Rhinolophus ferrumequinum: one gene and its partner. The protein of the gene in region 1 purifies or fractionates together with the protein of each later gene. This does not show direct contact. Links are inferred from orthologs where the notes say so. Each region holds a gene or a part of one and is shown on either strand. Other genes may lie near its edges.

Region 1 (3,743 bases):
CAAACTTGGAAAATAATTTTGAGTTCTTCGACATAGTTCAGCTTTCTGGCTGTAGGAGGGGATAAAGGATCCAGTAGACATCCTCCTGAAAGCAGGAGCAATGCTAGTTCAATTCATGGTGTGTTTTTCTCAAGCCTGTGACCTGCAGTCAGAAGTTGATAGTCTTTCTAAATTATGGTTAACATTCAGCTCAGGACAGCTTGATAACTCCCATTTTAAAAAGCCTACTATGTGCTGGGCTAGGCTATGATTAATACGTATATGAGTTAAAAGTGCCCCGACTTGCCTCTGATTATGAGATGTAGGCATGTCCCCCACTGAACCAAGTTGCCTTTGCATTTATTGATGCCACTTCGTTGATTTCCCATTGCAGGGAAATGCAGAATTGTCCGTGGCTTGCCATTTTCACTTTCCAATCTGTGAGGGGGCTGGTGGAACAGTGGCTCTGGCTGAGACAGAAAATCTCCAGTTGGATCAAGGGGTGGGGGCCTAAGAGACGTTTCGGTTTGTTCATCTGATTTGTAATTTGGCATAACTTGGGTTAGACTTTACTTTTTTCAGACGCATACGTTCTTATAGTGACTAGACAGGGCCAAGACTTCTTGGGGGCGACAGGTTTGGGATTAGCCCTTTTCACACCAATGACATCTGAGAAGATAAATTTAGGAGCAGAGCCAGGTCATGGTGTGAGGTTCGGAGAAAAGGCTGTCTAGGAGCCGACCCGCCACACAGGCCGCGCCCTGCAGTCGGTAGGCGGCGCTGTCCCCACTCGGACCCGCCCCTCTGAGCGCGCGGCGGGGCAACCAGAGAACCCCAGCCGGGGAAATGTCCCTTCCTGCCCTTCTATCCTGGGGTGGGGGTCAGTGTCACAAGGAGCCGGAACTAAGGCCTCGAAAGAGAAGGCGCTGGATCCCAAATCCCGCGGAACCTCTGATCCGAGGGGAGGCGCTGTGGCCTTGGGTTCGGGAGTGGGGTCCCGGGCGCCGATCTGTCGCGGCCGAGAGGCGTCTCGGATCCCAGGTCCCTGGAGTGCCCGCGGACCTCGGGAGGGGGCGCTGGATCGTACGGCTCCCGCGCCGCTTCCCGGGAAGTTTCAAGTTTGAAAGTCTTGGCCGAGGGGCCGGGGCTTCCGGAACCGGAGTGGTGGAGAGGAGGGGCCGAGCGGCCGGAGCGACGCCATGGAGGAGGGGGCGCTGCGGCAGGTGAACAGCACCGGGAGAGGCCGGGCCGCGGGGGGCGGGGAAGCCTCATTCACTGCCCTGGGAGCTGGGAACTCCTGCCGCGTCCCCAGCCCTGCCCCGTGTCCCTTCCCAACTCCTGCCCCGGGCCGCCCTACCCCTCGCAGGGCATAACTGAGCACTGGGGCTAAGTCTTTCATGCACCCGGGAAACTTCCCCAAATCACCCCAAGTGGCTCAGAACCTTCAGCCAGGCAGTCCACGAGCATGTCTGTATCCTCAGTGAAAGCCACTAGGGTGGGTCCCAAAGTTTCCCAAAATCGGTTCTTCCAGGTAGGTCTCTAAGGCCGATGGGAATCGGCGCGGGAAGCAAAGGGGGGCCATGCGGGCACATTGGGAGCGACCTAGGGGAAGAAGAATGCGTGTGCTCAGGGAGAAGGGGACGGGAGGGGCCAGTCCCTGCGCACTTGCGGGGGTGGGGCGTGGGGGGCCTTCCCAGAGCACGTGGGCATGCAGAGTGTGCACGCGAGGCGGAGGGAACCAGTGCCTGCGCTGGAACCTTTGGGTACTCAGAGGGTTCCAGCCCTAATGGCGAGGGAGGCGGGTTCCTGCCAGAGCTGGCAATAGTGCTGGTGGGTACGGGGGCCAAGGCTGTGTGCACGTCTGTTACGGGGGAGGGAGAGGTGTGTGTGCACGTGGCCGGAGTTCAGCCCTGAGCAGACAGGACCATGGACCATGCTCAAGGGAGAGGAGACCTCAAGAAGACGCCCTGAGTGCCCCCACCTCAGCGGCTTAGGCAACCTTCAGGGCTGTGTCTGCCCCCTCCCACCCCCTTCCTCCGGAGGCCCCTCCGCCTGTTCCAGCAGAGGCTTGTACACATTTTCCGATTTCCTGTGAACCTCCGCCCAGCAGTGGCAGCTGGGTGACTCAGGACCCTGGTGGCCTGGCCCCCAGCTCCATGGGATCTTTGTTTGCTCAGGCCCTTGGCTCTGGCCCTCTCCCCTGGAGCCGTCAAAGGATTTCCTGAGCCCCGCCCCTGCCCTCTGACTGCTGGGCCAGCAGGCCACGAAGGCTTGGGGTGGTGGGTCCCAGAGGCCAGGGTGTTCACCCCTTCTACTAGGCTCAGGAGATGGAGAGCAGAGAGGTAAGGTGGAGGCCTTGCAGGAGTCATGGGGGCCTCCTGGGTTCCCCGGGGCTGAAGTCAGCTTTGGCCCCCCATGGTCTGAAATGGCCTCTGGGAATGAGGGTTTCCTCTTCTTGCTCCAACCTGGGGTAAAGTCATGAGAAAGCCTACTTCCTCCCAGGAGCTGAGCTAGGAGTGGGCCCCCGGAGACCTCCCCAGCCTCTCTCTATGCCTCTGTTTTGCCATCTGAGGTGAGGCATCAAGGCAACAGCCCTGGCCTCTACTCAGGCCTCTGACCTTGGGTGAATCCCTAGCGGCTTTTCTGGCCGCAGGTCTTAGCCTGCAGCCCAGCCCTCCAGCAGCCTGATGAAGCGGGACTGGGTGGGCGGGACTAGGCCCCAGGAGGTGGTGGTATCTCCTTGTTGTGACTTTGGGCGGATTACTTAATCTCTTTCTGTGTCTCAGTTTCTTCACCTATAAAATAGCAACTGCACACCTCCTGCGGTTGTTCTCAGGATTGACAAGTTAACATATGCAAAGCTCTTAGAACAGACCGGGCACCCAGTAGTATCACGTGAACGTTGAAAATTCCCCCCCCCCCACCCATCTCTCTGATGTGGAGGACCAGAGCCTCTGCTGGATAAAGAGCTTTGGGGTTTCCACCTGGCTTAGGGATACTAGCTCCACGGTCAGAGATGCTTCCCACACCCCATGCGTCAGTCCTGGGTGCTGTCCATGCCTCCCTCTCCCTCTGTCTGTGGTGAGCTGAGGCTGGTGGCGGCGGGGACTGAGTGGCATAGCTTCTCTGCCATTCCACAGCCTGGGGTGGGCCACCGGCCCCCTGAGGATGAGAAAGAGGTGATCCGTCGGGCCATCCAGAAGGAGCTAAAAATCAAGGAGGGTATGGAGAACCTGCGGCGGGTGGCCACAGACCGCCGCCACCTGGGCCACGTGCAGCAGCTGCTACGATCCTCCAATCGCCGTCTGGAGCAGCTGCACGGCGAGCTGCAGGAGCTGCACACCCGCATCCTGCTGCCCAGCCCGGGGCCTGGCCCAGCTGGTGAGTGAGGAGTCTGGGCAGACCCCGCAGGACAGGAGGCGACAGGCTGACCCAGCCCCTCGGCCTCGGTCCTGACCACCCTCAGAATCTCCCTCAGGTAGCCCGTGCCCAGGAGGGGAAGGGAGGGAAGGAGTGAGGGGTTCACGTGCTCCACACTTCATGCACACAGAACCTGTGGCCTCGGGACCCTGGCCTCTGGCAGAGCAGCCAAGGGCCCGGCACCTGGAGGCTCTGCAGAGGCAGCTGCAGGTGGAGCTGAAGGTAAAGCAGGGGGCCGAGAACATGACCCACACGTATGCCAGTGGCACCCCCAAGGTAAGGCTCCTGGCCTCTGATGGGGAGGATTTGGCTCTCAGATTATTAGGGGAGGTGCTGATCCAGCC
Region 2 (3,743 bases), on another chromosome or scaffold:
GAGACTGTAAATCATCTAAACCAGTGTTACTTGTATAATTATGTATTTACTTTTAAAAACATTTGCTTTACATTTACAGTAGTGATAAGGATCGTTTGAAGAAAAACAGTACACAAATACTAACATAGTAGTATACAATGTAGCAAGCACCTAACAATAATGGAACGCCTGAAGTCTGGGAACTAGTACTTAATCAAATATATCCTCTTTATTTTAAGAGGTCACGTTTAAGTAGCAGTATTAGTATAAGAGTATAGTTAGTAGTAGAGTTGGATATACAGAAATCAGAATTTCTAGTTCCACGTAAGTCTTCCCCCAAGGTATAGGGCTGGTCCATTCCATTAGACGACTTCAGTAACTCTTAAACCCTATCACTGCATTGTTTCCTTCTACTCAAAGAATTCTTACCCTTCCCCCCAAAAAAACAGTAGCAGGCAAATAAATTGCTAGTCACGCACATGCACCCTCTTCAGATTCAAGGCCAAGATACAAAATGCAAGTCCAAATTCCAACAGGCCTGGTCCGGGGGGTCCATTCTGGGCTAGTGGGATGGGGCAGGATTAAGAACTCTACATCAGCAGGACCTCCATCTCGGGCTCAGACCCACATGGGGGTTCAAAACTAAGCCCCACTGCTAGGATTATGTGGCTATGGGTTAGTGATTCCCCCAAACCTGTTCTGTCATTTGTAAAATGAATAATAGCTCATGAGATTATTCACAGGTGGAGCAGTACCCGGCATGGACTAAGTCTGTAGCCACAAGGGCAGCAGAATTATTCCCCACTACATTCTCGGTGCCCAGCACATAGCAGGCACTCCATACATTCGCTAAATAAAGCAGAGGCCCAATTGAAGCCAGCCTGAGATTCAATCAAACTTCGGGAGCCCAACCTATAAATGGGGTCAAGAATTCCCTAAACCAAAGAAGGTCCTGATCATTGACAAAGGAAGAGTCTTTTCTCACAATTCTATGATTAATTCACCCCTTAAAGATTGGCACCTGCTGTCCTGTGGTTCCATTGTCTCCCTCTTCATTTTTAGAAATAACAGGCTCACAAAATGACATCTCAGGCTGTTGACTTCTGTTAAGTCTTCTTTAAAAGAGGCCTGGGAACAATTCTCACAGCTAGGTCCCTACTCTGCCAACACAACCTTTCTTGGCTAAAAGGTATCACCTATTAAGAAATCCATCACAGAGACAGGAAAAGAAAAGTCAAAGACAATTCCACACTCTGTCTTCACCTTATTCCTGATTCTCAAAACTCAAAGATGGGCTGAACTATTTTTAAATTGGTAGACTGAAAAGGAACCAAAAAAACGATCTTACAATCCAAGGCACTCATCCCCAGAGCACTCTTGTTTGGCCGGAAGGAGAAACTCTCTGGCTCTGCAAAAGTCAAGGGAAAAAAATCATACACTGAATGCAAATTTCATCTCTCTCCTACCAAAAGGAATAAGCAAAAATGGTTTTTTCAAAATGTTACAGAATCTTGAAGGATGAGTTTAAACTTCTCTTTTCTAAGCGAGGACCGAAGACATTCCTTCTCAGATCTTTGAATTTTCAAGGATAACAGGAGAGTTAAAAAGGAGAGGAAGGGAAAGGAAGAGAGTCAGGATATATTCATTCTATTTTTAAACCCTCGCCCACAGTTTTAGAGTAAAGAACACTCGGATTCTCTAGTCCCACCCCTATCAGCTTCTGCTAAACACAAGAATCAGAACCTGCACACGTACGTGGCCCTGATTCCAGATTGGGGAGTACTGGCTGCCAATACTCCAAAGAATCGCTAGCTAACCAACCTTTCCTCCCAGTCCTTCTCTGGGTGGCGCCTGTGCCTTTCGGAGAACCTGCGGCCCTGAGCAGGCTGGAGCTGCGTACAGGGAGCGAAGCAGTGCAAGCCGCCTTTTCCCGAGGGAAGGCAAGCGCCCCCTTGGCAGGGAACAGGCCAGTCCCACGGCTGGACACCCAGGGTGAGCAACTCTTCCCCAAGGGAGCTGGAGTCGTGGATGCGATGGGAATTCCCAACAGGATGTGGCACACCTGGCACGAGAGCCCCACTCCCGGACACCTGTGTGCCGCGCTCATCCACCATGGTGACCCAGAGCACCACTTGCGCTCGGTCACCTCCGGGCCATCCCGGAACGCAAACGGCTGGGAGACGGGTCTCTTTCCTCAACGGATTGTGGCTGTCTCGCCCATTTTACGTATCCCTCCTTCCTCATTACAAGCATCTACGCCCATCCCTCAGTGCCCCGAGGACAGAAAAGCAGCCCGGCGCACGGACGCCCAGGGGAGTGCCGTCCGACAGCCCCTCCCGCCCCGGGGCCTCGTCCCCGCCGGGCTCGGGGGGCACTCACTCTTGAGCGCGCTGACGAGAGACTTCCCGTCCTTGATGAGCTCCTTGATGAATTTGTTGGTCTTGTCCAGCTCCGCTTCGTGTGACTTGAGCGTCTCTCGGAAGTGCGGGCTGTCCAGACAGCAGTCGCTGAATTCCAGAGCAGGGAGCCCCATGGTGCCCGCGGCGCCCAGCCGGGGGGGCGCGCCTCCCCCGGGGCCCGGGCGGCCCGCAGCCCCGAGTACGCACGCAGTGGGACCGGGGCTGGCACCCTGACGGCCGTCGGCTCCACAGGTGTGGCGCCGGCTCGCCCTCCGCTCAGTGTCCGCCTGCGCGCGTGAGTCCTGAACCGAGCCGGGACCCGGCTGCTGGGCGGCGCGCTACGGAGCGGCGGACCTACAGCGGCGCCGGGAAGCGAGCGAGCGGGCGAGCTAGTGCGGCCGCCGCCTCCCCGCCTCTTTCGCTTGTTCGCTCTCCAGCAGCCTCGAGCGCCCTCTCACAGCAGCCTCAGCCGCCCCGCCGGCGTCCGGGCCGCTCGAACCTGCTAGCGATGACCTAATCCCAGCCGGACCAATCAGCGTGCCCGCCTCAGCCCGACCCCCCGAACCTCCCAAGACGCTCGGCCCTTCCGCGGCTTTGACCCAATCAGAGAGGCCTGGAGGCGGGGCCTGAGGCAGAGGGCGGGGCCCACGCCACCGCCTAGGGCCGCAGCACAAGCTCCGCCCCCTCCCGCCCGCGCGGTGTGCAGACCTAGAGCTTTGGAGGCAATCGCTGCGGTGCTTGGGCCCTGATCACCTACGATCTTGCCCGCCTGATGTGGTCCCGGTCCGAGTCCGAGATGGTGCGTCTGCAGGTCTGGGGAGCGAAGGAGGTCAGATGTGCCCAGCACGAAAAACTGGGAATTAGGGCTGCAGTTCCCCTCTGCCCGCCCTGTATTGCTGGGCAATCGAGTTTGCATTCAAAATGCAGCCCCTGCCCCGGAGAAACCCCAGTGTATCAAGCAACCACGTTGACCCTTAGGCACTCGCTCCTTCCAGTCAGGGAGAAAATGTTTGCATCTTAAAATTACCAGCTCTTCTTGTCTGCAGTCTTCCCGCCCCTACAGTCCGGCCGCGTCACAGCCACTCCGGCTTTAAAACCCGCCCACAGCTGCCCTTAGCTAAAGGATCTAATATCCTTATCAGAATTTCATCCGCCTGTTGTTTTCCTGTTCGGCATCGAACACAATTTTACATAATTTCTCCCACTGCCTGTCGTCTTCGCTACACGAGGGAAGGGACACCGCAGTTTTTTTGTATGCTGCGGAATCCCCAACACCTAGAATTGGTTGGCACTGAATAACATTGAGTGCTCACCATGCGCTACTTGTGCTATGGCGATTGATAAATATTTGTGGAACAAATGAAT

What was found. The genes of interacting proteins can lie anywhere in the genome.
Region 2: the proteins of PKN3 (region 1) and ARHGAP26 purify together in Homo sapiens (affinity purification with mass spectrometry; 3 studies listed by BioGRID and IntAct, with this or other methods). This does not show direct contact. The link is inferred for Rhinolophus ferrumequinum from reciprocal best matches to the Homo sapiens genes PKN3 and ARHGAP26.

The regions. Positions count from the first base shown.
Region 1 is NC_046295.1:77,464,547-77,468,289, forward strand, and holds the start of PKN3 (serine/threonine-protein kinase N3), read left to right. Parts: upstream 1-1,235; 5' UTR 1,236-1,444; coding exon 1,445-1,510; intron 1,511-3,119; coding exon 3,120-3,360; intron 3,361-3,529; coding exon 3,530-3,675; intron 3,676-3,743.
Region 2 is NC_046307.1:16,801,867-16,805,609, reverse strand, and holds the start of ARHGAP26 (rho GTPase-activating protein 26), read right to left. Parts: upstream 2,860-3,743; 5' UTR 2,513-2,859; coding exon 2,359-2,512; intron 1,388-2,358; coding exon 1,328-1,387; intron 1-1,327. UniProt on the Homo sapiens protein: GTPase-activating protein for RHOA and CDC42. Facilitates mitochondrial quality control by promoting Parkin-mediated recruitment of autophagosomes to damaged mitochondria.